Linked DNA regions of Mus musculus. The protein of the gene in region 4 interacts with the protein of the main gene of each other region in a pairwise test. Links are inferred from orthologs where the notes say so. Each region holds a gene or a part of one and is shown on either strand. Other genes may lie near its edges.

The links.
Region 1: the proteins of Banp (region 4) and Ppif interact in binary tests that used the Homo sapiens proteins (3 or more experiments, as listed by UniProt). The two-hybrid records come from large-scale screens. The link is inferred for Mus musculus from reciprocal best matches to the Homo sapiens genes BANP and PPIF.
Region 2: the proteins of Banp (region 4) and Leng1 interact in binary tests that used the Homo sapiens proteins (3 or more experiments, as listed by UniProt). The two-hybrid records come from large-scale screens. The link is inferred for Mus musculus from reciprocal best matches to the Homo sapiens genes BANP and LENG1.
Region 3: the proteins of Banp (region 4) and Mrrf interact in binary tests that used the Homo sapiens proteins (3 or more experiments, as listed by UniProt). The two-hybrid records come from large-scale screens. The link is inferred for Mus musculus from reciprocal best matches to the Homo sapiens genes BANP and MRRF.
Region 5: the proteins of Banp (region 4) and Nedd9 interact in binary tests that used the Homo sapiens proteins (3 or more experiments, as listed by UniProt). The two-hybrid records come from large-scale screens. The link is inferred for Mus musculus from reciprocal best matches to the Homo sapiens genes BANP and NEDD9.
Region 6: the proteins of Banp (region 4) and Nrip2 interact in binary tests that used the Homo sapiens proteins (3 or more experiments, as listed by UniProt). The two-hybrid records come from large-scale screens. The link is inferred for Mus musculus from reciprocal best matches to the Homo sapiens genes BANP and NRIP2.
Region 7: the proteins of Banp (region 4) and Map2k1 interact in binary tests that used the Homo sapiens proteins (3 or more experiments, as listed by UniProt). The two-hybrid records come from large-scale screens. The link is inferred for Mus musculus from reciprocal best matches to the Homo sapiens genes BANP and MAP2K1.

What each region holds. Positions count from the first base shown.
Region 1 is NC_000080.6:25,697,170-25,700,968, forward strand, and holds the end of Ppif (peptidyl-prolyl cis-trans isomerase F, mitochondrial precursor), read left to right. Parts: exon of another isoform or gene 1-403; coding exon 404-500; exon of another isoform or gene 501-653; intron 654-1,079; exon of another isoform or gene 1,080-1,096; coding exon 1,097-1,172; intron 1,173-2,297; coding exon 2,298-2,433; 3' UTR 2,434-3,299; downstream 3,300-3,799. UniProt on the Homo sapiens protein: PPIase that catalyzes the cis-trans isomerization of proline imidic peptide bonds in oligopeptides and may therefore assist protein folding. Involved in regulation of the mitochondrial permeability transition pore (mPTP).
Region 2 is NC_000073.6:3,663,041-3,667,267, reverse strand, and holds the start of Leng1 (leukocyte receptor cluster member 1 homolog), read left to right. Parts: upstream 1-1,427; 5' UTR 1,428-1,820; coding exon 1,821-1,952; intron 1,953-3,406; coding exon 3,407-3,586; intron 3,587-4,227. Other genes in the region: Tmc4 (transmembrane channel-like protein 4), read left to right, coding at 90-220, 294-449, 1,088-1,166, 1,260-1,328.
Region 3 is NC_000068.7:36,153,398-36,156,897, reverse strand, and holds part of Mrrf (ribosome-recycling factor, mitochondrial precursor), read right to left. Parts: intron 3,306-3,500; coding exon 3,187-3,305; intron 1-3,186. UniProt on the Homo sapiens protein: Responsible for the disassembly of ribosomes from messenger RNA at the termination of mitochondrial protein biosynthesis. Acts in collaboration with GFM2. Promotes mitochondrial ribosome recycling by dissolution of intersubunit contacts.
Region 4 is NC_000074.6:121,949,019-121,953,291, forward strand, and holds the start of Banp (protein BANP), read left to right. Parts: upstream 1-1,473; 5' UTR 1,474-1,630; intron 1,631-4,273. UniProt on the Homo sapiens protein: Controls V(D)J recombination during T-cell development by repressing T-cell receptor (TCR) beta enhancer function. Binds to scaffold/matrix attachment region beta (S/MARbeta), an ATC-rich DNA sequence located upstream of the TCR beta enhancer.
Region 5 is NC_000079.6:41,317,502-41,321,001, reverse strand, and holds part of Nedd9 (enhancer of filamentation 1), read left to right. Parts: intron 1-2,456; coding exon 2,457-2,558; intron 2,559-3,038; coding exon 3,039-3,140; intron 3,141-3,500. UniProt on the Homo sapiens protein: Scaffolding protein which plays a central coordinating role for tyrosine-kinase-based signaling related to cell adhesion. As a focal adhesion protein, plays a role in embryonic fibroblast migration.
Region 6 is NC_000072.6:128,398,348-128,402,565, forward strand, and holds the start of Nrip2 (nuclear receptor-interacting protein 2), read left to right. Parts: upstream 1-1,418; 5' UTR 1,419-1,759; coding exon of another isoform or gene 1,760-1,765; coding exon 1,766-1,954; intron 1,955-4,218. UniProt on the Homo sapiens protein: Down-regulates transcriptional activation by nuclear receptors such as NR1F2.
Region 7 is NC_000075.6:64,212,106-64,215,605, reverse strand, and holds part of Map2k1 (dual specificity mitogen-activated protein kinase kinase 1), read left to right. Parts: intron 1-996; coding exon 997-1,207; intron 1,208-2,875; coding exon 2,876-3,022; intron 3,023-3,500. UniProt on the Homo sapiens protein: Dual specificity protein kinase which acts as an essential component of the MAP kinase signal transduction pathway.

The DNA.
Region 1 (3,799 bases), on a different chromosome or scaffold from region 4:
TACCCCCATGGAGCATGTGTCTACAAAGCTGTTGGGCTTTGGGAGGGTGATGCTGGAGCATAGAAGAGGATTCGGGCGGGGAACTGGTTGTCTCCTACTGCCTGGCTCTGAGAACAGGACCCCTGGTCACCTGCTTGTGGTCCTCTTAGGAATTGTGGGTTGAGAATCTGAATAGCTCAGGCACGTTTCTTGAGGTTTACAGAAAAAAACTAGCTCAGACAGGATACTTTTTGTTCAGAAACCAGACTTGTTACGGCATGGTTACAAATGCAGAAGCTTGGTTTTAGTTTTGTTGGCCCTTTTGCCTGAGGGCGAGCCTTGAGAGCGTTGAGGGCTGTCTTCCTAGGGGACCCTTGTCCCTCTGCCAGCTGTGGTAATTAGTGACAAGGTCCTCTGTGTACAGGCTGGCGACTTCACCAACCACAATGGCACAGGAGGGAGGTCCATCTACGGAAGCCGCTTTCCCGACGAGAACTTCACACTGAAGCATGTGGGGCCAGGTCTGTGGGGCGGAGCCCTGTCCAGCGCTCTTGCTGTTCATCCCGTCGCTATGGTCCACACTTGCCCGGCATCCTTGTCATGCTCCTTCTGTTAGCATCCAGGCAGCTCAGCATCTCTTACTGGGTTTCTCTAGAACTTTCTCATTCATTACTCTGTAAAAACCAAACTTCCTATTGTAATTCCAGCACTTGGGAAGCCGAGGTGGGAGAATCCAAAGGTCAAGGCCATCTTGGGCTTCAAAGTGAGACTTGTTTCAACAAACAAAAACCAAACAGATTTCCCTATGGGAATTTGGTTGGGGAGTCTTTAAGCAGAACCCAAGGCAGAGTGTGGGAGAGTCTAGAAGCCATAGCTGGGGTTTCAATCAGCGCCCCCACTGCGACCCCTGAACTCTTTCCACCCAGGCATTCCCCCATTGAAAGCCAGCTGTCAGTTAAGGCACACAAGCTCTGGGGACTGTGTCAGCACTGGTTCTCTGGTCCCAGGATCTGCAGGTTCACGCGTCCTCAATGGAGTGTGAGCCACCTGCTCTCCCTAGCAACATTTCAGGTGAGGTACCTCCTGGGGACACAGCTCACCCGTGCTTGTCTTACAGGTGTCCTGTCCATGGCGAACGCAGGCCCCAACACCAATGGCTCTCAGTTCTTTATCTGCACGATAAAGACAGACTGGTGAGTACATCACACGCAGGGCCTCTGAGAAGGAAGCTAGAGGAGGTCACAGTCGGGAGCTTGATCTGCAGCTGGCCCGTCTGCTCTGGGCCAGTGGCTTGCTTCTCGCTGTGTGTCTGTCTGAGAGACAGGGAGGAATCAAGGCACAGTTTGTTTTTCTGTGACTGTGTCCCACCTGTCTACCCCAATGGTGCTGTTGGCTAGAATTTGATTTGTGTCTTGCCTGCACACACACTGAATTTGGGAAATGCTTCAGTAAGTGGCCTCATGGTGGTCTGAGTGGAAGCCACTTTGCCTGGCTTACCCTGATGTTTCCTTGGCTTGCCTCTGCTATAGAATGTGCTTATGGAATCATGGGTTGTGAGGAATAGTTTCCTCACACACTGTTAGCATGGCCGCACATGGCTCCCAGACCTCCCAGCTTCCTTTCCCACAGTCCTATGCTGTCTAAGAATGCCTTTTCCCTGGTAAAACTTCCACCAAGCAACACCTTTCTCTGCATAGAGTTCTGAGTATCCCAGGCCTCAGGTCCCAGGAGGTCAGAGGCAACAGCTGACTGAGAAGTTTAGAAAACCTGTGTTCACAACTTTAAGGAAATCTAAGCGATGGGATGACAGCCACACAGGGCTGTCAGGGTCGGGCATGTTGGTGCCAGCCCCATCTTCTTTGCTCCTTCCATGGAAGCCTTGATGGGCCTTAAAGCTCTGCCCCAGGCTGTCCTTATTCTCAGCTGTGCTGGAGCTGAGCTAAGTCCCTGTTCTGTTCTTGGAACTCACAGATCATGAGCTACTCAACACCTCCAGGCTTCTCACACTTATTTGGTGCTCAGTTTGCCATAGTCTGTTGTGCAGATGTCTTGCTTTTTTGAGTGCTGCAATGCCCATCATTTTCCTGGGCAGAATGAGAACAACCTACTTCTCATAAGTAAGGTCACCAAAAGTCAGATCAGGCTGCCGGACAAAGCCCAGGGTGACAGAACTGGGAGCCTGGAATCCAGTGGAATGCAGCTGAAGAGCTCACAAGCGGTAACTAGGCTTTCAGGGTAGTGGTGTTCCTTTGGCAAACAACTCTGCCGAGTGGCCAGGATGCTGGGTGTTTTCTTACTTGGCTCAACCCTCCCCACAGGCTAGATGGCAAGCATGTCGTGTTCGGCCATGTCAAAGAGGGCATGGATGTTGTGAAGAAAATAGAATCTTTCGGCTCAAAAAGTGGGAAGACGTCTAAGAAGATTGTCATCACAGACTGTGGCCAGTTGAGCTAACTCACAGCCAAGGTGCTAGGACAGCAGCAGGCATCCATGTCTTGATTCACCCAGGTTCTCCAAAGAACAGTTTGCACCCACTTCTATTGAGTCTGAGGAAGGCCACTCAGGCATGGTCCTCCCAGACCAGGCTGCTCTCCACTGTCCATCCTGCCTCAGATCCCGTTTCTGGGCATCAGTATGGCCATCGGGCCATGTACCCTCAGCCGATGTCCCCGTGATTGCCATGTGCGTGTGCCTTGGACATTGGCAATGCTGACCAGTTAGTCAGGGAAGGCTCCTGACTCTTTTCCTTGATCAGTGGGGATAGCAGTTGCTATTTAATGTTGTCTTCCTCCTTGCAATAATTTAACATAGAATTCAAGATCTCATCGAAACAAAGCTGTGACACTCATGGCACTGTCCGTGTGTGACCTGTGTTGCTGTGACACTCACGGCACTGTCCATGTGTGACCTGAGTTGGCACAAGCCACAGACACCCCCAACCCCCCCACCTCCCAGCCTGGCTTCTGAGACATCACTCAGGGCTCTTGTGAAAGTCCCAGCGTCAATGCCTTCCCTCCTGGTCACTGTGAATCCTGCTGGCTGCTGCTGTGATTTTTGAAAGCCTGTGAAATAGAAGCAGCAGGACCTGGGAACAGACCTGTGAGCCCGGTCTTTCTGCTCAATGTGAATTCCCGTGGTGAAAACTTACAGACACTGCCTGACCTCATGCTGTTCTCAAGAGGGAAGTGTCTTCTGGCAGGCTTTGCTTTTTCTGTATGTTGAATAAATCCAATCTATCAATAATATATATGTAAAAGATTTCTGGGACAGTCCTGTGTGTTCATCTCAAATGTGATAAATAAATCCTATTTTCTATAAAATGGCTGTCTCTGGTTTTGGAATGAAATTTACATCTTTGGGGCTCATTTGTTTTTGTGACAGGGTCTTGCTGTGTGGTCCAGGGTCTTGCTGTATAGCCTTTGGCTAGCTTCAAACACTCTTGACCTTCCTCAATGCTGTTGGGATTACAGGCATGGAACATTGACTCCAGCTGGGGCCAGTCTTGGAGTTACTATGTGTTAGGTTCTATGCTTTGAACTGTTTTTTGTTTGTTTTGTTGTTTTATGATGCTAGGGCCTTTGTGCACACAAGCCACGTCCTCAGCCTTATTGTAAGGAAATCCGTGTAGAACATTCTGTGTCCTAACCCCAAGTACTAGCTCAGAAGCCACTGAGAACATCCTTGCTACCATCTGTCCTGTAGGATGGTCCAGACAGTCCCCACCGTGAGCACTACCTCTAGGTGAAGTCCCAGCTATGCTTAGTGATTGAGCTTCAGTTTCTCTCAGCTACATAATGTGTACATGACATCTAGGTCTGGA
Region 2 (4,227 bases), on a different chromosome or scaffold from region 4:
GAGGCCAAAGCTCCAAGATAAGAAACAGGGAAAAGCAAAGGATTGACTCTTGAGTCTTACACCTCCATTTCCTCGCCTCTCCCTACCAGATAACCCTCTTCTCCATCTACTCACCGGCTTCCCGCACCTTCCGAGCATCCACGGCAAACTTCTTTTTCCCCCTGGTTCTCCTTGTGGGTCTGGCGATCTCTGCAGTTCCCGTGCTTTACAGTATCTTCCTGTAAGTACGAGAGACTTCTGTTTGTTCTCACTCTAGCTCGACTTGACTGAATCCAGTGTGTCTCCCCCTACAGGATCCCACCTTCGAAACTGTGTGGCCCGTTCCGCGGGAAGCTGTCCATTTGGGCCCAGATCCCTGAGGCCATTGAGAGCCTCCCTCAGACTGCCCAGAATTTTCTCTACTTTCTGGGAACCCAAGCTTTTACTGTACCTCTTCTGATCCTCTCTAGGTGAGCAGTCAGACTTTGAATGTGTGTAATTTAGTGTTTGAAAGAGAAAGGAGTTTCTGGGCACCTGAGTGCTAGAGAGGTGGGCTGGGTGCCTATATACAACAGAGACGTGGGGCTGGCCGGGATGCCTATAAATCAAGAGCAGGAGAGTCGGAGTGTGAATGCTTAGGGTCTAAGAAAAGACATCTGGGTTTGGATTCCTGGTCTGAGGAAAGGAGGGCTAGGGTGTGGATTTATCGATTTGATGAAGGGGGAGGAGGTATGGAGCCTGAACCTCTAGTTTAACCTCTGGTTAAAGGGTCTGAACTTTTGGGTCTAAAGAGAGAGGATAAAGACTTGTGTTCAGAGTCTCAAAAAGGGTTTTAAGGGATTTGAGGATCCTGATATTGGTTTCTTTAATTTACTTATTCATTTAATTTTTATGTGTGTTGGTATTTGGACAGTGTGACTGTCTGTGTGAAGTAACGAACTTGAGTTACAATTGTAAGCTGCCATGTGGGGCTGGGAATTGAACCCCGGTCCTTTGGAAGTGCAGCCAGTGCTCCGGTTACGAGCCATCTCTCCAGCCTGGTTTCTAAGGAGCCATATGATGAAGATGATTGTTTTTCTAGAGTGATTTTCATTCCTGTCTTCCATAGCATCCTGATGATGTATACCGTAGCCCTGGCTAACTGTTACGGACGCCTCATCTCTGAGCTCAAACGCCAGATAGAGACGGTGAGCCAGGCTGATTTCCCCGGAAAGGGCTCTATGAGACTATGAAAGAAGAATGAAAAGGTGTGCTTCACTTTCGCTCCTTTTTGCCCGCAGGAAGTGCAGAATAAAGTCTTCCTGGCCCAGCGAGCTGTGGCTCTGAGCTCAAGGAATGGAACTTCCTGATAAGTCTGGCTGAACCTTCAGCCCCTCAGCTTCAGTGACTTCATATCAAGTGATGGGACTCTTTCATCTCTGGAACCAAATTCCCCGCCCTCTGCCACCCGAATGCTACACTCTCAATTGAACCGTATTAATAAACAACAGTCAAGGCCGCTTTGCGTTTTGAAACCCCGTTCTGAAGCCTCGGACGGGGTTTGGGGAGGGGCCAGGTCCAAATCGGCCTGAAGAGCTAGGTTATGTCTGCTTAAAGGAATAGACAGGCAACAGCCTCATCAAGCAGCGTCCGGGGGTGGAGCAACTCAGGTTACAAATGCTTAGGATTGGCTGAGATGGAAGGCTCTCAGCCAATAATCTCTAAACAAGGCTAGGATGGGACGTGACAATTGGCCCAGAACCAATGCACGAGCAAGGGTGGAACCATGGGGCGGGAGCATCCTCGAGCCAATCGGAAGTGCTGAAGAGTGGGCCTGACAGTCCGAGGTCGGCACTGGAGCCATGAATATCTTGCCGAAGAAGAGCTGGCACGTCCGGAACAAGGACAATGTTGCCCGCGTGCGGCGCGACGAGGCCCAGGCCCGGGAGGAGGAGAAGGAGCGGGAGCGGAGGGTGCTGCTCGCCCAGCAAGAGGTAAGCCTGGGGACCGCCCAGAAGCGCGGCGGGCCTAGCTATCACTCGGTGCCGGGAGCGGGTCTGTGTGTTCGACGATGTTTCTCTGAAAATCCTGTGCTAACTTCCAAGAAACCTTCCTAGATTTCCCCACTGGTGTTGAGGGACCAGAGACTAGCATACTGGAAGAGTTGGACAAATATTCTGATTACTTTATAGGTTGCCCGCACAAGTTAATTACTGATCACCCACTCTGTGTATGCTCCCTTCCTTCTGAGCGCTTGCTTTGAGAAATTCCCTCTTAGAACAACTTGGAGGGGTGCGGTCACCTTGCTCTGAGTACAACGGCTTCAGCAAGGAGGGCAAAGGGCGGACAAGCCGGGGTCCACTTCGTTGGGCATGTCTTTTCTCCCTCCCTCATTGCTTGCCAAGAAAAGAGCATCTGGAGGTTTTATTTGGAACAGGGTCTGTGTAGCCGTGGCTGTTATGGAACTGGCTACGTAGACCAGGCTGGTCTTGAACTCAGCTTGCCTGTTCCACTTGAACGCTAGTATTGAAGACCACACACACATCACAGACTCTAAGTTACTCGATTAGTTTGGTTTACACTTAAGTCCCTTGGCCAATCTGATCATGAATTAGTGTGGGCTTAAAAAAAAAAAAAAAAGCCGGGTAGTGGCGGTGGCGCACGCCTTTGATCCCAGCACCTGGGAGGCAGAGGCAGGTGGATTTCTGAGGCCAGCCTGGTCTACAAAGTGAGTTCCAGGACAGCCAGGGCTACACAGAAAAACCCTGTCTTAAAAAACAAAACAAAACAAAACAAACAAACAAAAAGGTGACGCTTGTAATTAATCCCAGATACTAAGGCTGCAGAAAGGGGAGAATTGTGAATCAGAGACCATCCCTATCTGGGGTCAGGTTGTACTTGGAGTGGTGACCTGGAGCCATACCTTGGATTTAGATCCTTTGTCCAGAAAGCAATATTTGATTACCTTACAAGTTTGGGAGTATATACATACTTGTGTTGGGGACTGAATTTGGAACTACACACAAGGCAGGGGCTCTATGGCTGAACAAGCCACCTATACCTATACCTGAGTGGGTTTTCCTTGCATCACTTGAGACTGGGAAGCCTTCTGTTTTAGGTCAGGGATCTTCTCTGAACTATCTCTGATAGCCCAGTTTACTGTCTAAAAACATCGATTCTCCACTCCAAGTTAGAAATGGTATCTCTTCTTGCTCTCAATATTTGCCCCACCCCCACCCCCTCTTTTCAAGACAGGATTTTTCTGTGTAGTCCTGGAACTAACTCACTCTGTAGACCATGCTGGCCTTGAATTCAGAGATCCATGTGCCTCTGTCTCCTGAATGCTAGGTTCAAAGGTGTGTGCTACCACTGCCCTCCCTGCCCATGGACCATTCTTGTATCCTCAGCACTTCTGGGTTCTGAATGTCTTCCCTATAACCCTTCATAGGCCCGTACGGAATTCCTACGGAAGAAAGCCAGGCAACGAAACTCAGTGCCTGAGCTGGAAGCAGCAGACCCAGGAGCTCCAAGTTCTGGCCCTGTGGACCTGTTTAGGGAGCTGCTGGAAGAAAGGAAAGGAGTTCCCAGAGGCAATAAAGAGCATGAGGAAGAGAAGCGACGGGAAAAGGTAAGTTGGCCTCATTTTTTGGTGGAATCATGGGGGTGGGGACTGGCTGTGACTGTTAGGATATGGTGATAAGCACTCTAAAATTTTTAGAATATGACTGAGAGATATTACCTGTAAGTTGGTTACTGCTGTACAGCACTTAAACTGGCTAACCTTTTCCCATGGGACTAAAAAAAGTCTTAAGCTATTTTATTTTTGAGATGAGGTCACAACTACACAGACCAGGGGTGCTTTCCAATTCTCAATCCCCCTGCCTTGGCCTCCTGAGCCAAGTGTTGGGATCATAGGCACTCATCTCCAGACAGCATTTGTGCTTTTCAAACTGACTTGTACTGTGGCTCTCCTCTCTCTCGTCGAACTTTGAAGGTGCTATCTCCCACTGAAAAATCACTCCTCCACTTTGCTTTTCTGCAGGTTTTTCCTTAAACTGTTCCCAAAGCTTCTCCCATCTTCACTACTGCACAGGCCGCAGCCTCTCTTTCTTCCTCCTCCTGCAGATAAGCCCCTGGTGCTTCCTGAATGGTCTTCTGATCTCCCTTGTTAAATGACTGTCTACCAGTCCCCGTCTCCAGAAATTTGAGCCCTGGGTTTTTCTATTGCCACATCTAGGGCTCCCAGAGGGACTGAAAAGACTATTTTGT
Region 3 (3,500 bases), on a different chromosome or scaffold from region 4:
ACTGCCCTTCCACTTTACACTTCGGTGAGCCCTTATAATACAAGGTACATGGAAACAGACCTCTAGGACCTCTTAAGCATCATTGAGTTCCCAGCCTACATATAGAACCTACTAACTTGGAGGACTCCAAAGCCTCCATGTCAAGCAGAGCTCTGTGCAATAGCAGTGTGAAGCTGGGGGAGGTGGCTCCCTTCTCTGAGCCTGCTGCTGCCTGAGCCACAAAACAGAACACTTGTGTTAGTCTTTCTGTTGGTGTGTGAAAGAAGCTGTAAGAAGGTGACCACCAACCCAGCAGAGATCCACACATCTTCCATCCACAGAAAAATAACGGAGACTGATAATTTTTGTTGTTGTTGTTCTTTGCTTTATTCAAATGATGCTATGGTTTTTATTCGCTTCTTTTCTCTCTCATCATTAACTGTAGCTTCAGGCATGTTTAGGAAAGGGAGCAACTGTGTGCACCATTTATCAAGCAAAATATATGCTAAACAAATGCAACACAGTTTTTGCCTTCAATGCGTTTGAAAGATTTTACATGTAAATCTGTACTGTGTCACAACAGCATGACACAGAAATGTTCAGGTTTGGAAAGAAAGTCAACTGCACGTGAAACCGAGAGGAATTCTATAAACACAAGGAGGATTAGCTCAGCATTTTGAAGCTATGAACCTTAGTACTCTATAGGCAGCTTCTAAAGCTGGAGGAAGGAAATGTTTAGTTAGAGCTGTTTGTTTAATGTATACACCAGATGAGAACAAGAAATTCAAAGGACAACGTAACTACCACTTCCTCCCTGTGCCTGTACATGGACCCCACTACTGAGACACTGGTAAAGCTTTTCCCAAAACCCAGGGAACTGCATACTAAAGAGATGGCAAAGATACTTTAGCCGAAAGATGAAAATATACTCCAACTTCCTAAGAAAAAATTAAGCAGTTAATACCTCCTCCTGCTTCATAAGAGATGCTCTGGTGGCCAATCAGGTGCTACTTCTGTGAATAACATTTGCTATTTAATAAGAGAAGTGGCTGGCTCTGAAAAGCAATCTGTCTGATGAGGTCTTCAAACTGTAATTAGGAGGCTATTCCCTAAATTGGCTTACAGTGCCTATGGGATTAGATGAACAGGGAGGAGAGGCCTCAGTGGTCCAGAGGGGGCCAAGGAGGGAAAGCTGACAGTTTCCTTTGCATCCATTTCTATGCTCCTCAGTAACACTATGAATAAGTGCTTCCTTCCCATTAACCTGATAACACATATCCACCAGTTTAAGGACAATGTATGGAACGCTTTCGTGGTCCAGGCACTGTGTTTGATGTGGATAAAATGAACACATTATATATGACTCTTCTACTAAAAGCTTACAACCTAGTGGGTAAGTGACAGTCATACTGTACCTCAACACAGGAGGAGTAAATAGCCAGCCAAAGTGTTTCAAGTCACAGGAGCAGTACCTACAAAGGCCCAGAAGATGCAGAAGGCATGATGTGCTTTAAGGCCAGTATGAGCAGAGCGGCGTACCAGGATACAGTGCCACAGGACTGCAAAGACTGGAAGCAGGCCAAGGCCAGATCACCTAAAGCCTTCTTGATCACAATAAAACTTTTGGGCTTTCATTTTTTTGGGGGGGGAGGGCCTCGAGACAGGGTTTCTCTGTGTAGCCCTGGCTGTCCTGGAACTCACTTTGTAGACCAGGCTGGCCTCGAACTCAGAAATCCACCTGCCTCTGCCTCCCGAGTGCTGGGATCAAAGGTGTGCGCCACCACGCCCGGCTGGGCTTTCATTTCTTAAAGACTGTTTGAATTATGAGAATGGCACAACCCAATCTACACTTTGAAACATTCAAGTTCACTTAGGCTGTAGGACTGGACTGGAGTGGGGCAGAGAGTAGCTGTAGCTCTAGAAGCTCAACTGGCCTGGTAGCCTCAGGAGTCTTCTGGTTGGAGATGGTTAGTTCTGCTCCTGTGCTAAGCTAGTTTGTCAAATCCAGGGCACAGACAAATCTACTGAGACAGAGACGAGAGCAGGAAGGCGAGGAAATGGAAGCCCAGAGAGGAAGACCAGGACCAGAGGACCAGGCCAGTTGGAGGTGGAGCTAGGACCAGATTTCAGGTTCTCTAGGTTTCTCAGCTGCAGCCTGAGGGTGAGACGCAGCTCATCCTCCAGTCTCGAAAGCCAGGCACTACATGTATTGGTGTCTCGTCTGAACCAAGCTGACTTCCTGGAGGGTCTTCTCCAGATTCTAATACAGGGCTCACAAAATGGACCTCGGGCCGTAGCTAGCCCATTAAAATATTTAATCTGTCTCAAGAGTTTCTAGTTTATTTTGAGGCAGTCTCATTGGTCCTCCGGCCTCTAACTCCTAAGAGCTGAGATAACAGACACAAGTCAGCACTCCTGGCTGCCAGACATTTTTAAAAGAGAAAAGTGGATTATTCCAAAACATTTAGACAACAAACGATACTTTGTACAACATTCAGGATTACTAGCTTCTTTTGAAACTAAAAATTGAAGCATCTGTTAATAGGAATTACCAGGCCTACATTTCTACCCTGCAGTCTTCTGCAAGAACTGGGCAGAGGTGACTCAGAAACAGGCCGCGTGACTACTTCCAGGTATGGTGGTTTGAATGAGAATGGCCCCTTTAGAATCATATATTTGAATGTTTGGTCCCCATTTTGTGGAACTGTTTGGGAAGGATTATTATGTGTGGCCTTGTTGGAAGAGATGTGTCTCTGGGGGTCAGTTTTAAAGTTTCAAAAGCTTTTAGCTATGCTCCATCTCCATGTCTGCCTGCCTGCTACCATGTTCCCCTCCATGATGGTCAGAGACTAACCCCCTGGAACTATGAGACTCGAATTAAGTGCTTTCTTCTTTAAGTTGCCTTGGTCATAGTGATTTGTCACAGCAATAGAAAAGTAACTAAGACAGCAGGTTAGCAGACCCTTACACTGCCCCAAGAGTCAGTCACTACTCTCCATTATTGTTTTTCAAATTACTTACTTGGTCACTGTAACATTTGAGTTTAACAGGTAAGAAATATAGAAATAAGAGAGCTTTTTTTTTATCCTAAATTTTCTTTCATAAATTTCTTCCCAAACAAAAGGGAACATTTCCTTCTGACCTGATCAAACCTCCTTTATTCCAAAAGAAACTCTGAAGACAGACCCTTACAATAAGGCACCTTACCTCTGGGAAGCTGGCCATATTCACCAGAATCACCTGTGGCGACTTCATGGAGATCTGGCCAATCTGATTTAGAGCAACCTTCCCATCAGCAGTTACCACAGTAATATGATCAAGGGATCCTAAAGAAAAAGTAATAAGGTTTTAGGATTCTAAAGGACCTTAGAAGCTCATACCTCTTTATCTAATTCAGATTCAACAAACATACATAAGCATCTTACCAATGTGACAAGGCTGTTCACAGGAAGTTTCAGGCAGTGGAAAGAGTATGTAATGCTAGCAGAATCACATTGGAATTCCTTACTGGTACCAAGGTG
Region 4 (4,273 bases):
GGGATGTTAGGGTGACATGCTGGGGATGACGTCACCATTACTCTGTTTTTCCGTGCGGTCAGGCATTCATGTTCAGAACTCTCACAACTACAGTTTTAAAATCTGGGCCCAATTGAGGGGCGGTGGGAGGAGATAGTACAACTCTCTAAGAGTTTCTGGCCAAGTTCCTCGTAGTTCCTCTGGGCTTAGCTTTCTTTCTTTTTATTTTAAAGATTTATTTATTTATTTCATGTATGTGGGTACACTGTCACTGTCTTCAGACACACCAGAAGAGGGCATTGGGTTCCCATTACAGATGGTTGTGAGCCATCATGTAGTTCCTGGGGTTTGAACTCAGGACCTCTGGAAGAGCAGTCAGTGCTTTTTTTTTTTTTTTTTTTTTTTTCCCCAAATGAGACAGGGCTTCTCTGTATAACTCTGGCTGTCCTGGAACTCACTCTGTAGATTGGGCTGGCTCGAACTCAGAAATCTGGCTGCCTTTACCTTCCAAGTGCTGGGATTAAAGGTGTGCGCCACCACTGCCCAGCAGGTCTCATTTTAACAGCACAGTTCTAGGTTGAAATCTTCAAGACAATCCTGAGGTAAAGTGGCACAGGATCAAACCCCAGACAGAGCACAGTGGTTTAGAAGGGCTGTCCCAAGGTTGCCCAGCTGGTAGCTGCACTGAGTCATGGCTTTATTATCGGCACAGGGGAACGGGCAGGAAACAGGTTTTTGTTTTGTTTAGTTTTCTAAGTGAAAATAACTCCTGTAATCCCGGTTTGTAGGATTGCTCACTGCGAACATGCAGAAGGGGACAGCCTGGAAAGGAACACTGACGACAGACCAGGTGCAGAGAACCATTAGTGGCATTTCTGGCAACAAATGCACATCGATGCTGCATAGCTCCTATTGCATGATACGTAAGCATGTCACATATAATCTCTATCACAGTGACAGTGTCCCCACGACCAGCTTGTCCATAAGGAAGTCAGGCAACTTTCCAGACAATGCCACTGAACGAGCCCGGAACGTCTGAGACCGATGCCAGGTAGAGTAGGTAGGACGGGTTTGGGAGCGTACAGCCCATTTGAGCCGCTGACACTACAAGTCCCAGCAGCCCTCAGGGCAGGGAAGGCATGGGGCAGCCAGAATCCGGATGGACTACAAATCCCAGCAGGCAAATCATGGCCGCAGAGACTACCAGTCCCAGGACGCATCGTGCCACACACAGCGCACACTGGGATTTGTAGTCGTCAGGGCAGCGTTAGTGTGTTCACACCCATCAAAGAGGACGTACATTCCTCAGATTGAACACTGGAGGATTTACTGCTTTAGCAAGTAACATGGACGTGAGATGGGGAAGTAAGGGCCCAGCGAGTCAACTCTCGGAGCAGGGGAGGACAACTGCGCATGCTCGTTGGAGTCCGTCGGCGAAAGCGCGCGCCAGAGGCGCCCAGAGCAGGCCCCGCCCCCTTCCCGACCGGCCCCGCCCTTGAGCCGGGAGCCCAGGGAGCCTGCGCTGAGGGCGGGGCGCAGGCCGTGGGGAGGCGCTCGCGGCGCCTGCGCAGAGCGGCTGCTTCTCTCGCGAGGACGGACGCCATTATCGCAGCTCCCCGACAAACACCACGAGAATTCCGCAGCCCACACGGTAATTGCAGCTCCCGCAGCCGGTCGCGCCTCCACTCCCCCTTCCCGCGGGGCGAGAGCGAGAGCGAGAGCGAGATCTCCGGCCGCCCCCGCCCCGCCCCGCCGCCAACCGTCGCCAACGGCCACGGGGCCGCACGCCGGGCTGGGCGGGGGCCGGCGGGCCGCGGGATGTCCGCGCGTCGCCTCCGCGCCTCCACCCGCCGGGGCTGCGGGACCCGGGAAGCGAGCGAGCGAGCGGGCGAGCGGCCGAGGCCCGGCGGCCGTGCTCGCGTGCGTTCGGCTCCGGGGCCTCGGCGCCTCCCGGGCCCGCGCCCGGCGCTCCTGTCACGGGCTCGGCGCGCGGGCGCTGTGGCCCTGGCTCGGCCGCCCAAGTCTCTCAGGACTGAGCCTCGCGCGCTGCGCCCGGGCCCCGCGCGCCGCCCCGCCGCCTAGGTGGCCCCATCTCCCGGCCGTTGTTGGCGCTATGCCCCGGTAACCGGGTGACTTCGCCCTGGTTGGCGCGTCCGCCCGCCTCTGCTCTGCTCTCTGTTGACATCGGGGCCGAGACTGGTGCTCGCTTCCCCACCTAGCGTCACGTCCCCGTCCCGCACAGCCTGGCTCTTTTTTTTCCTTGTTACTTGTGGTGGCCTTTGTTTCTCTGCTCCTGGTGACATTGTAACTTCTCGGAGATAGTGTGGAACCTCCGGCTTCCCTCTACCTCCTCTCTGCCTTTCTTCTAATCTGGGTTGGGGACGCTTTAGGCGGGTGCAGGTAGGTCCCGAGGTCTTTCTTTCGCTGCACGCCTGGTCAGCTCAGGACGCAGTGTTTCAGTCAGCTTTCTTCTTGAGTCCCCAGGGAGCCTCTGCCAAGGACTTCCTTTCTGGTAACTGTTTCCTCCCTGGACCGGCCTAAGGTCTTCTTGGCATTGGAACAGGTCTGCCCTTCGCAGGTATGCTCGGTAGGCGTGTCCTCGAGCGCTGGGAGATTGTCCCAAGAGCCTTTCTTAAAGTCGTTAGAGAGTTTGTCGCCCTCCCCCCCACCCCCGCCCCATTTGGGCACACTACTTGAGTTTCTTTATCTTTCTATTCCTTTTTGATTTTCATTCCAGGAAAGAACTTCAGTTTATCTTTCACCCCAGTGGCGCAGGACTTTTAATTCCAAGCACTTAGGAGACAGAGGCAGGTGGATCTTTGCCAGTTTGAGGCAACCTCGTTTACATAGTGTTTACATAGGCAACCTCCCCTATCTCGGGGAGGGGGCCGGCGAATCCACCATCAGAATTGTAGTTTCTGAGCAGGGCATAGAGAGGTACACACCTCTAGCCCCAGCACTTGGGAGGCAGAGGCAGGCGGATCTCTTAAGTCTGACACCATCCTGCTCTACAGAGTGAGTTCTAGGACAGCCAGAACTACACAGAGAAACCTTGTCTTGAAAAACGAAACAAACAAAAAAAAATTTCTGAATGTATTTGTTCTTTTCCTTTTGTTCAGTAGTTTGTTTCATGAATATGTTTTCTCTTTCAGGCTGAGAAAACTATTAGGGGTTCTTTTCAGTTCTCTTATCTGACTTCTTGTTTATCACTTTTGGGGGGTGGGTGGTAAATGTTAGCTTCTTGCTTTGGATGGCAGGTCCTCCAATAGTGCTAATTATTATTGCTTAAACCTTAGACTTTAAGGTAAGAGGAAACTGGCAGGGGGCCCTGGGTCTGTGGAGAGGGGTTTAAAAATGGTTTTCCCCACTAGTGTCTGGGAGAGGTTGTTACCTCAAGACTTGGAGGACCACATAACAGACACCTTATATCTGGGCTGTTTATGCATCTTCCAGGGTCTGTCTCCCTTTGCTTGGAAGCTGTTTTGCTTGTCAGGGGTGGCTGTGGAGACTGCTGAGGGCCAGGTGGGGCCTGGAGCCCCACTCCTGTGTCCTGCAAGCTATCTAGATCCTCTGTCAGAAGTTTAAGTCTTTGGCTGTGCTCTATTTTCTTGTGAGCTGATTGTACTGTAGTAAGTATTTTAGTGGGGTAAGTGGAGATTGTTTACAAGGCCACTCATCTTGAACAGGAATTTCAAAGCCTGTTGTCTTCATTCAGACAATTTGTCTCCTTCCATTTTTTGCTCTTTGTGACGGATGTGTGCCAGAACATGGTGTCTGGCTGCCTCCAGTTGACTGGGTGGTCCTTTGGTAGGGTACCGGGATGCAGAGGACTGGTCCCACACTGAGATTAGGATGCAGAGGACTGGTCCCACACTGAGATTAGGCACTTGATTTGACTTGTCTGGTGAGCTCTGAGTTTAGCCTCTTCACTTTGTTGCTGGGCTAGTGCAAGTAGCTAGCATATTATGCATGGTTCATTGATCCCGAGGTGCGCAGTGCAGTGTTTGCCGCGCCCATAGCACAGGGATAGCGAGGCGCTGTTTTGGGCTGGCACCCTTGCCCAGGGCCTTGCAGCAGAGTCCACAGCAACCCACACTTCATGAGCATTCTGAGGTCCACCTGCAGAGTTAGTCTGTGGTTAAGAATTTCAGAGAAACTGAATGAGCTTCCTCTTCCCCTTCATTTTCTCTCTTGGCTAACAGGAAGGTTACCTAGATTATAAAGACCATACACACGTTTCAATGTCCCACTGACATCTTTTGTTTGTTTTGTTTCAGGATGTAATTCAAGACTC
Region 5 (3,500 bases), on a different chromosome or scaffold from region 4:
TGGCTTCCTCAGAAACTGGTTCCGTCACTCTCTGCCAACAAACTTAAAGCGCTGAGTTCCTTTTCTAAACCCGAGACAATGGAGAGACTGGGTGGAAATGTTTGCTGCATACTAATCTCCTTTACCTTCAATGTAAGAAATAATCAGTTGTAAGCATCAGGCATTTTAAACAAAATTGGACCAGGAGATGTGGGAGGCCCTGGGGTACAGACACTCGTGACCTTGGTGGTGTTCCATTCTGTTCAGCTTGAGGTGGGCATGGGGCATTTTCCACATAGTTTTATAGGCAGCCTGACGCCAGAGTCTTCACATTCAAGATGAAAGGCCTCCTGGGAACAGACAGTTCCTCCTAATTTTTGAAGTCTTTTTTCAAAGACATGGTGGGCAGTGTAGGACTGTTAATGGTTTGGAAGTGGGGTGCTTGGGAAAAAAAAAAAAAAAAGTAAGACTGGGCCATTTTCAAACCCTGGAAAGAGCAAATGGATTGCGTTGAAATCGTGTTTTAAAACGACCAGTCAGTACCTAGCTATGGACATAAGAGTCTACAGTGGGTATAGTGCTTGCTGTATAAATGAGAGGTCCTGAGTTCAGATCCCCAACATACATGGAAAAACTTCTGCCTATAACCACAGTGCTGGTATGGTCAGCGGGAAGAGCCAAGTCTCAGGGCTTCCCAGGTCAGCCAGTCTGACCAAGTGGTGAGCTCTAGGTCAGTATGGAGACCCTGTCTCAATAAAATAAAGTAGAGAGAAATAGAAAAACAAACATGACGTTGATTGACTGCTGCTCTCCACGTGTGCCTATACCAGAGAGTGCATCCACATAAAAAGAGGGAGGGAGGGAGGGAGGGAGGGAGGGAGGGAGGGAGGGAGGGAGGGAGGGAGGGTGAACAGGCCAGTCCACTAGGTAAGATTCTGTTGGCTAACTTTGGCTCTAGATGCCAGAGTTCATGGTGCATGTATTTGACTTCTGCCAATGGCTGGATGTAGGGTATTTGCTTCCCTAGTGGAAATGGGGAGATGATGAGAGACTAGAGGACAAGACACTTCACGGCTGAGAGTCTGAGGGTTTCCTCATCAACACAATTCATTCTCTGCCGCATGGAGTCCATATCAATGGAGACAACCAGCTGTAAGCAGAAATTATTTAGAAAATAATTGCATCTACAATGAAGATGTGAAAATGTGTGACGTTGTTCTCTAAATAATACTGCATACCATCTATTGACTTGGTGTTTGTATGGTGTTTATATAACATTGTAGACTATAAAAACATTGGGAAAGGGTTTGAAGTGTGTCCAATGATATATGGAGGTTACATACAAAACACATATATGGAGGTTACTTGCAAAACACAGCACCTTGGCCTTGACCATCCAAGGATGTTGGAACAGGGTCTCCTAGAGACACTGTGGGAAACTGTATTTCCCTTGTCTCATAAAGTAAAGTGAACATCCCCAGGCAATTATAAGAACAGGACTGTTCATCAGCGGCTCTATGAAAGGATTAGGGTGACCCATGGAATTTTCAGTTATAATCACAATAATAATTTCAGATAAAGAGGCATACTGGGTTAGGTATGAGAGGAATTTTAAGTGGCCAAACTATTTGTTTATGTTCTTTACAAAAGCCTTGGAGCCTCGTTAAAAAAAAAAAAAAAAAAAAAAAAAAAAAAAAACTGTACTGTTGTACTTTAGCCACTCCGAAAGGATCAGCTAAGACTTTCATAATTTATTTTTATTTTATATGTATGTATACAAGTGTTTTATAATATATTCATACACACACACATACACACACACACACACACACACACACACATGCTTGATGCTGTTGGGGGCCAGAAGAGGCTATCAGTGCCTCTGGGACCAGAGATGAAGATGGTTGTAAGCTGCCATGTGAGTACTGGGAACCAATCCCAGGTCCTCTGTAAGAATAGCAAGTGCCAGCCGGGCATGGTGGCGCACACCTTTAATCCCAGCACTCGGGAGGCAGAGGCAGGCAGATTTCTGAGTTCGAGGCCACCCTGGTCTACAAAGTGAGTTCCAGGACAGCCAGGGCTATACAGAGAAACCCTGTCTCAAAAAAAAAAAAAAGAATAGCAAGTGCCCATAGCAAGTGCCCTTAACTGCTGATCCCTGCAGTCCAACTTTCATAATTTAAACATATCTCCTTGAATATAGGGAATTGAGAGTCCATTGATGAATTTTGATCAGATTTTTGGAAAATTCTTAAGAAAAGAAATAAACATATTTCAGTCACTTCTTTCATATTCTGACCTTGTATCTTCCTTTCCTCTCACCCTCCCATACTTTTTCTCCTTTCCTTCCTTCTTTTTCTCTCCTTTCTCTCCTTTCTCTGGTGGATTGATTAGGGATATGTTTCTCAACACAGGCTGATAAGTATGCTGAGGACTCAGGGCTGACGTTTGACATCTTTGTGTATTCTTACCCACAGGTGATCACCCCAGTGAGGACGGGCCATGGCTATGTGTACGAGTACCCATCCAGATACCAAAAGGATGTCTACGATGTCCCTCCTTCCCACAGCACTCAAGGGGTAGGCAATGGGAACATCACCAGGGGAGCTGGTGTAGGGGGCAGCAGCTCTTTAGGAACGTACAGGAGAAGAGGGACATCAGCCACAACCTTACCTTGTGGAGGTTGCCTGTCCAGAGGCCATTTCAGTCGGTGTTGCTTACATTGTATTTCTTAGGTTTGCCTTATCAGAAAGTCTAGTCTTTTATCTGAGAAATTTCTCATCTGCTTTATCGGTTTGTCATTTTATTTCTGGAAGTGTGTAATTTAAATGATCTAAATTATAGAGCAGATAGTTCACGTAAGATTGTTTTCATAGTTAACCTAAATCAAAGAATCCAAGAGTCATAAAGAAAACATCCAGAAGCCCCTGATGACATGAAACACTACTAACGACCAAGTCTATGTATGACCTGATGAATGAATCCTTACAGAAACAATAGCAAGGGACTTGAACAGCAGATTCCATTGCATTCTGGGTAACTTGAGTGTTTCTTTTCAGGTATATGACATCCCTCCTTCCTCAGTAAAAGGCCCTGTGTTTTCAGTTCCAGTGGGAGAGATAAAACCTCAAGGGGTATATGACATTCCCCCCACCCAAGGGGTAAGTGAACTGGAAAAACACAGTATGTGGATGAGTACCTCAATGTGTGGTGGGGGGGGGGAGTGGAATGTGTCATAGTTTATTGGGATAAAACAAGAATGGCAGTTCTAAAAGGGGAAAGGAGAGAAAGAAGAAAGAGAAAGAGGGAAGGAAGCAAAGGAGAGAAGAAAGCCATTATTATTACAAATTTTGAGTCCCCGAAAATATGAAGACATCAATCATGAGAGTCCATTGGAAGAGGAGATAGTATGTTCAGTTTGGCAGTATCTAACACATCACATATTTCTAGAAGGGTCTACAGCTTCCTTTGTCTCTACATAAGAAGTAGCTCATTTGATTTTTCTGTCATCTTCTGGGCCT
Region 6 (4,218 bases), on a different chromosome or scaffold from region 4:
GCTCTGTAGATCAGGCTGGCCTCCAACTTATAGAGATCCGTCTAGCCTCTGCCTACCAAGTGCTGGGATTAAAGGCATGCACCACCACTGCTGGGCTAGCAGTAAACACTCTTAAGTCCCAAGCCATCTTTCCAGGCCCTTCTTTTTATTTTAATTTTTTGTTTTGTTTTTTATTTATTAATCTTTTTGTTTATATTTCAAATATTATCCCTCTTCCTTGTCTCCTCTCCATGAACCCCCCTCCCCTTTGCCTCTAAGAGGGTGCTCACCCCACTAGCATCCCCCTTCTCTGGGACATCAACCCTTCTTTTTATTTTTATTTTATGTGTATGGGTATTTTGCCTCTGTGCATATGTACATGTATATGTATATATGTACCACGGGCATGTCTGGTGCCATGGACCCCCTGGAACTGGGGTTACAGATAGTTGTGAGCTGCAGACAGTTGTGAGCCACTATGTGGATGCTGGGAATTGAGCCCTGGTCCTCCAGAAGAGCAGCCAATGCTCTTAGCTACTGAGCCACCTCTTCAGCCCCCTTCTTTTTATTTTTAAGATTTCACTAAATTGGACTGGAGAGATGGCTCAGCGGTTAAGAGCTGCTCTTAACTGAGGTCTCTTAACTGACTGCTTTTCCAGGGTCCTGAGTTCAAATCCCAGCAACCACATGGTAGCTCACAACCCTCTGTAATGAGATCAGATGCCTTCTGGTGTGCCCAAAGATAGATGCAGTGTACTTACATATAATAAACAAATTATATATATATATATATATATTTCACTAAATTGAAAGCCTGAGAGTGAACTCACACTGTAGTCCAGGCAGGCCTTGAATTGTGATCCTCCTGTCTCACCTTCCCAAGTAGTTGGGATTCTGATGGGAGAGGACCAAGGTGAGTCACAGACTAACCCAGTTGGAGAGATGTATTAGGCCCAGAACATTCCCAGAATTCCTCATCATGGAATCACTGGGACTTCAGCGTCTAACAGGGAAGATCTCAGAGGTGAGTATTACTAGAACGTTCCTGATCTCTTTGCAATTCGAGAGAGATATTGGGACTGACAGGGAGAGGCCAAGCAAGGAGGGTGGCTGATGGCAGATGGAGGAGAGGTGGGGAGGCCACTCTCATACTGTCCCTCTCTGGCCAGCACCTCAAACCCTAGTAGCAAAGGACAGCAGCATGAGAAAAGAGCTGGGTGGCTGACTGTTCAGAGACTGGAAGGGGACAGCAGAGCCGGTCCACAAAACACAAGAGACAAGGGACATGCATGCCTGCTTCCCCACACATACCAAACATGCGCCCCCACACAATGGCACTCACCTCTCTCTGATGACTTGGCACAGCCTCCTGACAGTTTACAACACCCGCGTGCGCGCGCGCGCGCACACACACACACACACACACACACACACACACACACACACACACACACAACCATCCACCACCCACTCTGAGCAGGACCCCAGAGCTGCAGGCTTTGCAGCCTACCAGCTGCAGGCCCTGCTCGCCCTCCCTCTCCTTTAGGGCTGGGTTTTTCCAGCCGGAACCTCGCTCCCTCTACTGCAATCTCTGGAAACTGGTGTCTGACGCGCTGCTCTCGCCTATTATTTATTTATTTCTTCTTTTCTTCCTGCTGAGACCCTCCTGTCAGAGGGAGAGCCGCAGTCCGGAGACAGAGAAAGGCAGAAGCTATAGGGGGAGCTGGGAGCAAAAAGGAGGTGGAGAGAGACTCCCATACACCCTGTCTGCTTTCCACAGAAGACCATGAGCACCGGGCAAGAGGCCAGGAGAGATGAGGGAGACTCCAGGAAAGAACAGGAAGCTTCGCTTCGGGACCGAGCCCACCTGAGCCAGCAGCGCCAACTCAAACAGGCCACCCAGTTCTTGCACAAGGACTCGGCTGACCTGCTGCCCCTGGACAGCCTCAAGAGACTCGGCACCTCTAAGGACCTGGTAAGGACCCTGACCCTTTCTCTCCTCTTCTTCATATCCTGTGTTTGGGGTGAAGGGAGGTGGTCTAAAGGGCAGAGCCTCAATCTTCAAATTTCTTTCTCCTGTTGAGATGGGAAAGATGTTTCTGCCAACTTGCAGCCCCCCAATCCTCCCCAGATCCTTCATTGGGAATGTTTCTTGGCCTGGTGGCAGTGAGGGTCCCTGGGCTCATAACTCAGCTTCCACCGTTTTCCCCCCTTAAAGCCCAAGGCTATCCTGGGGTAGTGGAGAGTCATGTTGTTCAGCGCAGCCTAGAGGACCCGGGATTCCCAGGGAATGGACACATAAGGACAGTAAGGCCTAGAGGATCCGTCACCCCGGGGTTATGACTCCTACTTCTAGATTCCTTCAAAGCTGCCCACGAATTTGCCCCATTCCTCAGACCTGCCCCCACTTTTGCCCTTTCCCCCCTATCACCCACTTACTGAGGGTCTCCTGGGCAATCAGGGGTTCATATGGCTCTGACCTGGACCTGTCTGTGTCCTTATGTCCCTTCCTCCCAAACCACTGCAGCAATTTTGGCCCCCCAGAGGGAACAGGCCGAGGGTGACAATGAGGAGGTAAGGGGGGCTAGGGTCAGCGTGCAGTCTTTGCCCCCAGGGATATAATGGTTAAGAGCACGGGCTTTGGAACCACCTTGCTTGGGACCAAATTCTGGCTGTAATTTGGAAAGTTGTCTCTGTGCCTTGTTATCTCCATCTGTTAGAAAGGAATAAAGTTGCGAGCATCCACCTGGTAAACAGGTCACCTAGGCTTCCACATACTTAGCACTGTGACATTGCCTAGCTAATAGCAACACTAAGGGAGACGATTGGGAATGCTTCTAGCTATGGGTCCTTTTAGCTTTTGAGTTGCTGGGGCTTCTGGGGGGTCCGGAGAATCCAGAATTCCATCCTGTGGGAGCTGCTTCTTCCTGGGGGGTAAATGCATTCTCTGTTGCTTTAACTGACCTGGCTCTGCCTTTCTGTCCTTCTCCAAGTCCCGTCTCAGCAGCCCAGAGAACACAGGAGACAGTTGAGGAATAGGGAGGGATGTGAGAGCAGGTTCTTTGATGTCCCAGGGCCTGGGCCTTGTGCTTCTTCATACAGTCCTACACCTGTCTTGCTCTGTGGACACTACCACCTCAGAGTAGCAAGCTCAGCCTTTTCACACCAGGGTTTCTCACCTCTCTCCTTTGCCTTACCACCTGCACGATCTGCAGCAGGTAGCGCCTATGACTTTGGGCATGAAGAAGCAACATTCTGGAAGCCCCTCTTCACGATTGGGATAGCCCTGACACACACTTCCCACAGTGAGGAGCCTGGAGTCACTGTGGAGAGAAGGGCATGGGAATTGTTTGGGTCCCAAGCTGGCTGTGCTTTCCCAGAACAGCAACTCACTGCCAGGGTCTCCTGAGGCCAAGGGTAGAAAAACAATCCCAGGCTCCCAGGGTCAGGTGGAGGAGTGTGTGGAGCTTGGGAGGCTACAGCCATTCTCCAGGAGACTTTAATTTGTTCAGAGTCTCACTATGTAGTCCTGGTGGCTTGAATCTGCTACATAGCCCAGGCTGGCTTACAACAGTGCCTTTTAAGTTTATAAACAACAGAATTAACCATACTTTAATTCTGAGCTAGGGCTATGTAGCGCAGGCTGACTTCACCTTTGTGGTGATCCTCCTGCCTCCCCACTGCTGAATGCTGTGAATATAGGAGTGTGCTACCATACAAGACTAAAACCAACCGTTTTATTTTGTGTCTTTTTCCTTTTTATTTTTAGTACTGGGAATGAGACTTAGGTCCATGTGCATGCTAGGCACATTTTTCTTTGACTGAACCATCCCAACCCCCAAGCCACGGAGCCTCCCTCTTTATGCTGAACTAGGCCCTGGGACAGAAAGATGAGCAAGACAGATCTGACTTGAAGGCCCTTCTGGGCTGCAGTGGGGGTGAAATCCAAAAATAACATCTGTGAGAATCAAGACCGAATGAGCTACAAGGGTGGAGAACGATGGAGGGCAGAATAACGCAGAGGCCAGTTCTGCAGGTGGAGTGAGAGGTAGAAGGAAGGCCCTTCTACTCAATAGAGCATAGGGAGCTATGCGTACAGATTGGCCTAGTGAGAACTGGGAGGAGGGGTTTCCAGGAGAGGTGAGCAAGGATAGAGGCTGGGGTGGAACACAATCTTCCCCGGGGAAGAGGCCTAGCGTCACTAGAGTATGAGAGCAGTGTGGTGGACAATCCAGAAAG
Region 7 (3,500 bases), on a different chromosome or scaffold from region 4:
GCTATACAAAAGTAACAGACTTAGGTGTGTCTTTTATGGATTGTGATCCAACTTTTCTGATTGCCCTGCTTCCTAGACCATATACTAGAACAGAAGAAACCGGGCGTGGTGGTGCAGGACTTTAATCCCAGCACTTGGGAGGCAGAGGCAGAGGCAGGCGGATTTCTGAGTTCAAGGCCAGCCTGGTCTACAAAGCGAGTTCCAGGACAGCCAGGGCTATACAGAGAAACCCTGTCTTGAAAAACTCAAAAAAAAAAAAAAAAAAAAAAAAAAGAACAGAAGGTTTCCACTGCTCTGTTCCAATTAAAAGTGGGTTTGGTTACAGTTGAGAAGGTTTAGTGAATTTTATTTTGTGTATTGTGTAAATGTAATTAAAATTCATTGTTTTATTTCTGAGGTAGGGCTTGTTATATAGCCGCCTAAACCAGCCTAAAGCTCACAGTCATCTTGCCTCGGCTTCCTGAGTGCTGAGATTATAGGTAGTCACCACACCTGTCTCTAGTGAGGGTTTAAAAAGTGACATGTATTTCTGTGTGTCTGAGTTTGAGTGTGTGTACATGAGGACGGCTCCAGAGGCGTTGGGTCCTTTGGAGCTGGAGTCACGGGTGGTTGTAAACTGCCTGACATGGGTGTGGGGAGCACCCATGTTCTCTAGAAGAGCAGCAGCAAGTGCTTTTAATGTCAGAGCCATCTCTTAGGTGCTTGTTTTCACTCTTACTAGATTCCTTGGTTCCTCTTGTAGACCTTTAATATGTTGAGAGAAATCCAGGACCCTCATTGTTCAATGCTGCGTTGTGAGATAAAGCAGGGTTGAAGGTGAGGCCCTAGGGATGACTGAAATGAGCAGAGCCCTGGCGAGTTGAACTCTTTCTTTCGGGCGTTACCTTCCTTGAGTCCCCTGTGGGCTTGGCCCAGGAGTGCACGGCTGCAGGGCAGGCGGGGCAGAGCGAGCGTCTCTGTGCTGCGCCAGTGCTGACCTGGGCCTCCTCGGGGCAGGACCAACCTGGAGGCCTTGCAGAAGAAGCTGGAGGAGCTGGAGCTTGACGAGCAGCAGCGGAAGCGGCTCGAGGCCTTTCTGACGCAGAAGCAGAAGGTGGGGGAACTGAAGGATGATGACTTTGAGAAGATCAGCGAACTGGGAGCTGGCAACGGTGGAGTGGTCTTCAAGGTCTCCCACAAGCCATCTGGCCTGGTTATGGCTAGAAAGGTGAGCTTATCTGGGTAAACAGCTAATTATCAATTAGGAGCCTGAATGGGTAAAAGAAAGGGTTTGTTTGTTTGTTTGTTTGTTTGTTTTCGAGACAGGGTTTCTCTGTATAGCCCTGGCTGTCCTGGAACTCACTCTGTAGACCAGGCTGGCCTCGAACTCAGAAATCCACCTGCCTCTGCCTCCTGAGTGCTGGGATTAAGGGCGTGCGCCACGACCGCCTGGCAAAAGGAGGTTTTTACTTAGGACTTTTTTTGTGCAGTTAGATTGAAAACCATACATTTGTCAAGTGCAGAAAGGAGCTGCTTTTTTACACCCAGTTCTAGTGACTGATGCTCAGGCCAAAGCTGAGTTTCATGGCTTCAGTCTTGACCCAATCCCTTTCCTGTTCACCACGTCATAACACGTGCCCTGTATAGAGAGACTATGTTCTACCATGTTTTTCAGCTCACCCGGCTCTTTCTTCTCTCCATGTTTGTATTGTGCCGTTCCTTCTAGCTTTCCCAGTGGCATCCATTTTGGGGACTTACCTCTTGTTTATTTCCTGTCAGCTGTTACAACTCATCAATTGTCATATGTCATACTTATTGTCTGTGGCGTGACCTTATTAAATAACATTAAATGTGTCTGTCACTTGTCTTCTGGTTAGAACAAGGGGCAATATTGAAACATATTAGGCAACAGCTGACATTTTGGCTAAATCAATCCTATCAGGTTCCTGAAGTCAAGGAGGAGCCCGTGGGGTGATTAGGGTTACCCTACGTCAATTCTGCATGCCTTTATACACCACAGCCCTACTGAACCGTGTCCAGAAGGCCGCATTTCCCTCATCTCTAGAAACTTGGCTTTAAAAATGGCTTTAGTGGGTAAAAGTATGTAAGTATGCTATACTACTGTGAGTACTCGAGTTTACATCACCAGATCCTACATAATAGCTTGATTTGTAGTATGAGTATCCGGGATCCCAGCGTTTTCATAGTGTCGTGGGAACTTGTGCCCACCTAGCCTGGCATATGCCACAGGAAAACAGTCCAGGGGCTGGAGAGAAGGATCAGCGGTTAAAAGCAGTTATTGCTCTTGCAGAGGACCTGGGTTGGTTATAGTACCCACATGGCTGCTTAAAACCATGCTTACTGCAGTTCTGCACACACATGATGCACATACATATACTCAAGCATACACATATACAGGTGAAGGTGAGGACAGACACCTGAGGTTGTCACCTGACCTCCACATGTGCACTATTACATGAGAGTACCTTTATTCACACACGTGCTTACACACACATACTTAGACTTTACACACCCACACAAAGGTAAATTAATAATTATAATTTTTAAAATTTATTTTTCCAAGTGTAGGGGTTCATGGCTGTAGTAAGTGTTTGAAAGAATGATGCAGTAAGATTGTGAGTTCCCTGACTGAGCTACAAAGTGAGCTAACCTGGGCAATATGGTGAGTTCCTTTTTCAAAATCATAGAGAGCTGGAATGTAGCTTGGTGGTAGAGTACTTGTATAGCGTGCTCAAGGTTCTGTGTTCAGTCATCAGCACCTTAAGCAAAGCCAAAAAGCTGTTTCTCTTCTTACCTTCAGAAACTTAAATCTTGAAGAAAGACATTCTTCTTTACTCCACTTCTTAAAAGCTTTCCCCTCCCGTCTTCCCTTCAGCTGATCCACCTGGAGATCAAACCCGCAATCCGGAACCAGATCATCCGGGAGCTGCAGGTACTGCACGAGTGCAACTCCCCGTACATCGTGGGCTTCTACGGGGCCTTCTACAGCGACGGCGAGATCAGCATCTGCATGGAGCACATGGTGAGCAGCTGGCTGTCAGTCTTTGCAGTGGCCTGGGAACAGGCTGGCTCTGGCCTCATTGTTGGTTTGGATGGCGACCAGCTCTTCCCTGCCTCCCCATTCCACACCCTAGAGGCCTAGGAGACCCGGGGGCCTGACTGGAGTCTGGTATAGTCACAGGATGACAGCATTGCTTCTCTTCAAAGAGAGGTGTTAGATGCCAGGAATTCTCAGTGGGCTTTTCTCCAGTATATTTCCTAATTTTCTCCTATTTTGATAGCCATAAGATTTTGATGTAGTTCAAATCTGGCTAATACAGTATAAGTCCAGTCTATGTCTCTGCCTTCAGAAGGTTTATGATATACTTTAAGGGCAGCCTTGGGATTTTTTTTGGAGGAGCTGACGAGAGCACCCCCCCCCCCCCCCACACACACACACTAGTGAAAGGTAAGAGCAAGTCAGGGAGTGGGTGTTTATGGGCCAGTTACATGTGTGGGAG